Drosophila melanogaster: one gene and its partner. The protein of the gene in region 1 interacts with the protein of each later gene in a pairwise test. Each region holds a gene or a part of one and is shown on either strand. Other genes may lie near its edges.

Region 1 (3,926 bases):
GAGTTGGTGAAGGGTTCCTGAAACATAAAGTTATTTGCATTGACATCGGGATTGGCATACAATTTAGTGTGCAAGTTCGAATGTGATGTGTGTTACCCATATCATATGCCCCATTTCCTAGTATTGATGGAAAGAACTTGATGATGAAGAAACTATACACTTTATCATACTTATCATAGTGATAGTATGACACGGGCTTTTCGATGTACTTATTTTGTCCATTGGTTAGCGAGCATACAAGTTTATCTATGGAAAAGTCCGAGCAAACGTTAATATCGACTTCCTTCTTGCAGATTTCAGATTCGGTTGGATATTTAGAAGATGGCACTAATAAATATGCCCTAGAAGAGTGAACTGGTGGCACCACACATTTCCTAGTGCAAGACAAGGCTTATTTTTTATAGTCACACTTGTAGTGCAGATAGTGGGGCTGCACTTGAAAATTGATTAGACACCCTCGGCTGGGTAATAAACTAATCTCCACCGGAGATCATTCTGTCCTGCGCCTGTCGATGATGGCAATCTGCGAGTAGCTTTTCCTTAGTCTATACCAATGTATATTTGCACGTCACTAGATAAGGAGCGCACATTGGGGCAATATGATATTGATAACCGAACAACACTTTTGGCGAGCTGACGTCAATTTTTACCTTGCAGAGCGGGCACATGAGCAAAATGCGGGTGCACTGTTCACAGACACTGTGGCCACTCTTGCACAGAAGGATGGGCGCCTTCATGGCGCCGGCACAGCCGGGACACCTCAGCTCCTCGATCAGTCCCTCGTAGTGGCGGGCGGAGACGGTCGGCGGGCCTTCCTCGCTGGGCGTGGCAGGGCTCTTTTCCGGCTTGCTGGGCGTGATGACGCCTTCGGGAAAGCTCTGACGGATTATGGAGCTGTCCGGCGAGAGAGCTCCATTGCTCGCTGGACCCTTGCCATCGGCGGGACCTGTACTGCGGGTGCGGCCCAGCATTGGCGGCTTAGGGGGCGGCGAAAGTGGGGATCGCAGGGTCACCACATTCGGACTTGGCAGCGTGGCGTATTTCACGTTCAGGGTGAGCGTGTTGGGGGGCACTGGTTTGGCTGGCTCCACCTTTTCGGGTTCCTTCTGCTGCTCCTGGGCTGGGACCTCATCAGGCGTTTTCTTCGCCACCTCCTCCGGGGGCATCTTCGTAGACTGCGGCTCGTCTATGGCCTTCAGATTCTTCTCCAGGTCCTCCTCCCGAACCGTCGATCCGTTTGTGGCCTCCGGCACCTCCTCATTGATCGTGCTGTTGAGAAATATGCGGCGCTGCTCGTTGATCTGTTCGATGCTCTTCAGCTGAGCCAGAATTTTTAGATCCTCCTCCTTTCCACCATTGGCCAGGGTAGACATTTTCGGCAATTTTCCTTAGTTTTTGACTAGTTGTCGTCTGGTTGTATAACCGCCGGGAACAGTTGCTCCAAGCTCAGGTGGCCGAATGTGCTTTTCTTCTGGCGGAATTCTTCGCAAGCGTTCGCAACTCGTACTTTCGTATCTTATCAGGGAGACGCCTAACTAAACTAGCTGGCCCGGCAATCGATTTGGACTTGTGATGCGATATACCAAAAAGCCGCAGCCAAAACCAACCAAACCAAACCAAACCAAACCAAAAACGCAGCCGAACCCCAAGCGACGCGACTCACACGCGCTCGCACATCAAGTACCCGCCCCGTTGGCCAGTTCTTTTGCCTTCACCGCCGCGGACGCGGACATGGACACGAGCGTCTTCCGGACCCCGCCAATTGAAATGTTGCATTTGAATTTGAATTATTGGCCATTTGTGGTTTCCTCCGTTCCGGCGGCTTTTCCATTTCCCCCTCTCCGCTTCCGTTGGCCAAATGCCGCAGCCATCAATGTCAAGGTGTTGACATGTGTGGCCAGGGTCTACGGCCCAGCACAGTGGGACCTCCGTAGGGCGACAGGCATTCTGTTGTCTACGCTGCTGAACTTTCGCAATTGTCATCATACTTATTAGTTTCTCCATGCGTCAACTGTACCTTTGCTTTTCGAACTGAGGAAAGCGTGCTCATACATGTTTCCTCGAGTGTTCACTGTACACGTTTGTGCCTGCCTGTTATAAGCTTGAGCGAACAACAGCAGCAACAAAAGGCCGATGCACCACCGATCAATACTTACATACATACATATGTATGTATGTCAATCGCCTTCAATCACGTGTATCGCAGAGGATTTGTAAGAAATGCAATTGAAAGGAAGAAAAGGAAGCATGTGAATCGCAAAATACATATAATATTTATAGCATGCCAAAAGCCTTTGAAATTTAATTAAATTTTTCTTTACAGCCATTTTGGGTTTGTGGTTTCGCTTTGATTGCATAGAATTGAATTCAATAATAAGGCTGTCAATTATTTCGAGACCAATATATTTCAGTCACATTTGGCAGTGGAACTAGTTCGATAATCTATATGGTTCTAAATTATATCCGGTAAATTCAAATGACAGTCAAAAGCATGAATAACCAAAATTTGACGAATGCAGCAGACTCATTTTATAAGTTGTTCCTTAAGATAAACTTGGTATAATCACGCGTACGCTTGATTGTAAATCCGAACTAGGAAGCAAATGAGATACATATGTATGTATGTATTTTCCGGACTGCTATCCGCTCTGTCCGGCAGATGGGAATGTGAAATAGACAACAAATCGCACGAGTCTTTCATGCCGCGTTCCACACAGAAGATCTTATATTTACATACGGAATCTTATCGGACGAGCCACTCCGCTCGGGTTCGCTAAATCGTGTAATAAAAGATACTTAGCACATATGTACGTAGGCATAGGGTTGTATGGGCGAGGGGTGGTTGGGTTCGGGTTCGAGGAACCGGGGGAACAATGTCAATGCGTTGACATTGAAGGTTAAATGCCGGCAAAGGCGGTTAGTCGGCTGTGGAATTTCCGTGCGCGCGCAACCAGCATCCAATTCGTTCCTGTAAGCCAAAAAACCAACATTACCATGTCGCCACCACGACACATTTTGAAGCTCAGCCTCGAGGAGCAGCGGCAGTTCATCGATTCCTTCGATTTGGTGATCAGCGACTGCGATGGCGTCGTCTGGCTCCTGGTGGGCTGGATTCCCAACACGGGAGCCGCCGTCAATGCCTTGAAAGCGGCCGGCAAGCAGATCAAGTTCGTGTCGAACAACAGCTTCCGGTCCGAGGAGGATTACATGGAGAAGTTTCGCCACATCGGCGCCAAGAACGTCCAGGAGGACGACATCGTTCATCCGGTGAAGACCATTGTCCGGTACCTGAAGAAGCACAAGCCGGGGGAGCGGGTATACTCCCTCATGTCCCTCGAAGCGAACGAAACGTTACGTAAGCACAACATCGAGTTTGAATCGCTGGTAAGGGGAAGGTTATTACTTATAAATATATATATACAATATATTTAGTTCAAGAGCTTCCGTGTGACTATTAAATTTCATATCATTCTCCTTCAGCAAGTCAAGGAGCACCTGACGGCCGCGTCGCTGGTGGATCACCTGGCCATTGAAAAGCCCGTGGGCGCTGTGCTATTCGACATCCACTTGGACCTCTCGTACGTGGAGCTGGCGAAGGCCATTAGGCACCTTCAGGAGAATGACGACTGCCAGTTGATAGCCGGCGGCAGCGATGTCATCATGCCACTGGCGGAGAATCTCAATGTGGCCGGGTTCTTTGACTTCCTGGAGCACGTTAAACGCTACACGCAACGCGAGGCCACGTTTCTGGGCAAGCCGTCTCCCATTTTGGGCGAAATGTTTGGCGAAATGTTCGAGATTCGTGATTGCAAGCGCTGCATCTTCATCGGGGACACACTGGTGCAGGATGTGCAGTTCGGCAAGGCCTGCGGCTTCCAGTCCCTGCTGGTACTTAGCGGCTGCCTAACAAAGGAGGACATGCTGAA
Region 2 (3,926 bases), on another chromosome or scaffold:
TGTGATCCTGGACTTGATGGACATCACATCTGCCAGGGAAGCGCTGGCATGGTGGCAGTCCACCAGAATCTGAGCCCAGGTGTTCGTTGCTATGTGATAGGAGAACAGCCCCGAATATTCTGGTTCTATCGCTCCCGTGGCATTGACACTGCGAGGCGTGAGTATTTTGCCTCCGAAAACGTAAATTGTACGCTTATCGGTATCCATGCACATCTGGTGATCATAGACAAGCTGAGGACCACCCACTTGGCTGGTGTCATCGCATATTTGCATCCAGTTGCCAGCCCTCGTATCGTAAAGGTAAAAGTCGCTCTTTATATAATCCGAAGTTCGTATCGAGTTATCCAGGTAACGACCAAGCATGAATACATTTTCGCTGATGGGATCAAAGACCATTTTGTGACAGGATCGCGGTGTGGGTCCATTGGAAAGCTCTGACCTTTCGCACAGTAGCGTCCACTGATCATCTTCGATATTGAATACCCAAAGGTCGCTCAAGTCCTGGTAGCCATCCCAGCCGCCGTAGAGATAAATAAGTCTCCTTTTGGCATCCACCACCAGCTGGTGACCACCGCGATTGCCTGAAATAGAGGAAGTTAACTGCTAATGATTGCTATTTGGAGGCAAAAATAGTTACCAGGCTTTATGTCGCTTTCGGTATGCTTCATATGCCAGCTGTGCTTGTAGTCCTGCTTATGTAAATACTCATCCATTAGGCCCTCGTCTATGCACTCGACTATAAAGCGTTCAGCCTTCTCAAAGTCGCCCTGCAAAACCTAAGAACCAGTTTTTTTTATGAATTTAATACCAAACTTCAAAGGTTTATAGCATGATCTATGCTGGGGATTCCTTTCTTACCAGACACTTATGCAGTTCGCTGATCAGCGGGTGCTCCAGTTGCACATTCGTTTGCTCCTGGAGCGCCCCAAAGGCACTCAAATAGCCCTGCTGGCGGAAGTGCTTCAGACACAGCTTGATGATCTCCACCTCGCGCAGCGAGTTGTAGTTCTTCATGCGAGCACTGGTGTACATGGGGTCGTCCTGGCCGTGCAGCTCCACGTACCAAATGCTGAAGTTGAACGACGGACCCCAGGAGAGCAGGGGCACGATCTTGAGGTACAGTATTGGTAGATTTTCCGAACCGTCTTCGGTCAGGCAGCGCAGGTTGAATACTTCTGGCACGTTATCGTTTTTTAGGCCACTGGGAAAAATATTTGAGTTATATTAAATAATGCATTTCAGAAAACCAGCTGAATGACCTACCCCTCCAGCAGCAAAACCATGTGCTCATCGTCCAAGCCGCCGTAAACACGGAATTTCTTGATGTTGCACACATGCGATTTCTCGAACTTGCCAAACTTGATTTTCTTCACAATGGCGGGACGGCGCAGCTTCAAGGTGAGAAATTGCGGCGGGCTGTTCGTGTAGGCGGACCACCTAGATGTTTGGTCGTTGGGACAGTCCACCAGGACGTTTCTACGAATGGAAATTAAAAAGATGCCCGTTTAACAATTACGATATGCGAGGCATCCATTTTCTTTTCCAGATTAGTACTTACTCAGGCAGATAGTTTGGCGAGTAGCTGGAGTAACGGTAGATCTCAAAGTTCAGGCGCTCGGAAAGCGAAAAAGGCTTTTGGCTGCTGGTATTCGTGCCGGAGACCGGGTTTAAAGATGGATTAAGGGCCGAGGACAGCGCCACCGATCCGTGCGAGCTGTTGTCCGTGGGACTGGATGTCGAGGAGGAGGACATGGCGAGTTCTATTCCAACGATCCTAGCGGTAAAAGATTAACGGAGCTCGGCTGTAGCTGTTATTACCGTTCTTTCTTGTCCGTACTTTTGTGCTTCCCTGTTCCACACCCAAAACAACCGCGTAACAGCTGATCGCCAGGGGCGTAGCCGTTATCTCATCAGGGGGTCGATTAACCGATTGTCTTACATTACATTGGCAAACGGTTAGCATTTAACAACAATTAGCATTGTGTAAATAACCAATAGAATTAGGCTGTAAAATCAAAACAAGCAATCGACCTTTTCATTTTACGCTTTTTTACTTCCGAGCGATAGTGCATTTTTAACAAAAATTAATTTACGTTAAGCCGATTTTTTGGCTAAAGTGTAGATAAGTGTATCGTGGCGTATCGATTATTTATTTGAAAGCTGTTTGTTCATTCAACCGTGATACCTTTTTATCAAGTGTACAAAGTTATTAAAATGTAGTTAGCGTATGCTTTAAGTTGTTCGGTTGAAGTTATGTTTATTTGTTTCAATGATGGCAAAGTGGCTTGCTGTCTCTTGTGTGTACTTGGGCGTTTTATTATGCCTTCCAAATACCATTGTGCGTAAATAAGCCCGTATAAATACAGATTTCAAAAATATTTTAGTTTTTAGTTCTATTCCAATGGATACTTTTTCAAAATCAGAAAAACTGAGTGCATAGCAAACGGAGCATATTTCAGCAATGTCTCTTGCATTCTGAAGCCTGTAAACTGGACTCGATCGGTATTGAACATGGATGGTGACATAAAGGAGGCATTAACTGATATTAAGGTGAGAAGTTTCATTAATTTAAGTATTACAATAATAATGGAAATTTTCAGATGTCAGTAGAAGTGTTCTACAAGGATTCTTCGAATTTGTACAAGCCCTTCGCCGTTAAATTTAAATTTGATGTTTGCCAATTGTTAAAGAATAAAACGCAAAGTAATTTTCTGCAAAAATACGCTATTAGCCATTTGACGGAGTGGACTAATGTAAACCACAGTTGCCCATATAGGGTAAGCTTATGTATATATAATATAGTTAAATTTTCTCAATATATTGAATATATATATATGTTTCTAAAGGGTCATTTGATTGCGCGTAACTTTCGTTTGGACGAGGTCTCTCTGCCCATACTTCCAATTCAGGATTACAAAATTGCATTTAACTTTTCAGGAGCCAATCCAGGAATTCACTTGGGACTGGTTTTGATCTATTTTGAAATTCTAGAGGATTATTACAAGCAAAAAAAGAATAAGCCACTGCCCAAGCCGTTGAACTTTGTTTAAAATTCATATAGCTGCTAAGGAAATATACACTTTTAAAACACGTTTTAATACAAAGGTTAGCTTCGTGAAAATTCTTTTGACAATTTTTGTCGGGTGTAACCGGCGCCCATCGATATCGTAGATTCAAGAAAATTTTAGAGTACGGTCACTCTGTCAGTGTCGTGGCTTGGTTTTGCACGGATTTTGTATTTTTAGTTTTAAACCCATAATTGATAAGTAAATATGGCCTTTGACGCGATACCCAAGGATCTGCGAGGACTTCGCGCCTGCCTCGTTTGCTCCCTAGTGAAGGTGGGTTATATTTTGCCCAGACTCGACACACATTTTCATTGAAATCATTTATCGCCCGCAGAGTTTTGATCAATTTGAGACTGATGGCTGTGAAAACTGCGAGGAGTTCCTGCGAATGAAAAACAACAAGGACAATGTCTATGATCACACTAGCAACAACTTTGACGGAATTATTGCCCTAACTACGCCCACCGACTCCTGGGTGGCCAAGTGGCAAAGATTGTGTAAGGCCTGAATGACTTCCGTTCCAAAAGGGTATTACTGATATATTTGAAATCATTTTCCTTTAGCCCGCTTTACTCGTGGTATCTATGCCATTTCTGTATCCGGAACACTGCCGCAGTCTACCTTACGTGACATGAAGAATCGTGGAATTGTCTACAAATCTCGGGACAGAAGTCAACGATAAACAAACAGATTGCCGTACAAAATACATGTATAAATCTTTATTCTTTAATTTATAACAAAACCACGAATACATACAATAGCAATACAAAACGAAACCGCATCAGTCATCCAGCGAACTAACGCGCAATCCCTCGCCGCCGGCAGTCGTAACATGAACACCAAAACCCGCCGATTCGA

The links.
Region 2: the proteins of CG2681 (region 1) and muskelin interact in a two-hybrid assay, tested with the Drosophila melanogaster proteins (one large-scale study listed by BioGRID).

Annotation. Positions count from the first base shown.
Region 1 is NC_004354.4:2,706,411-2,710,336, reverse strand, and holds the start of CG2681 (uncharacterized protein), read right to left. Parts: upstream 1,654-3,926; 5' UTR 1,374-1,653; coding exon 651-1,373; intron 18-650; coding exon 1-17. Other genes in the region: CG2680 (uncharacterized protein), read left to right, coding at 2,995-3,384, 3,481-3,926.
Region 2 is NT_033778.4:12,630,405-12,634,330, forward strand, and holds the start of muskelin (muskelin), read right to left. Parts: upstream 1,878-3,926; 5' UTR 1,753-1,877; coding exon 1,559-1,752; intron 1,477-1,558; coding exon 1,264-1,476; intron 1,202-1,263; coding exon 859-1,201; intron 777-858; coding exon 638-776; intron 582-637; coding exon 1-581. Other genes in the region: CG33792 (uncharacterized protein), read left to right, coding at 2,270-2,338, 2,392-2,550, 2,601-3,050; spt4, read left to right, coding at 3,273-3,341, 3,403-3,565, 3,632-3,750; Mvk (mevalonate kinase), read right to left, coding at 3,850-3,926.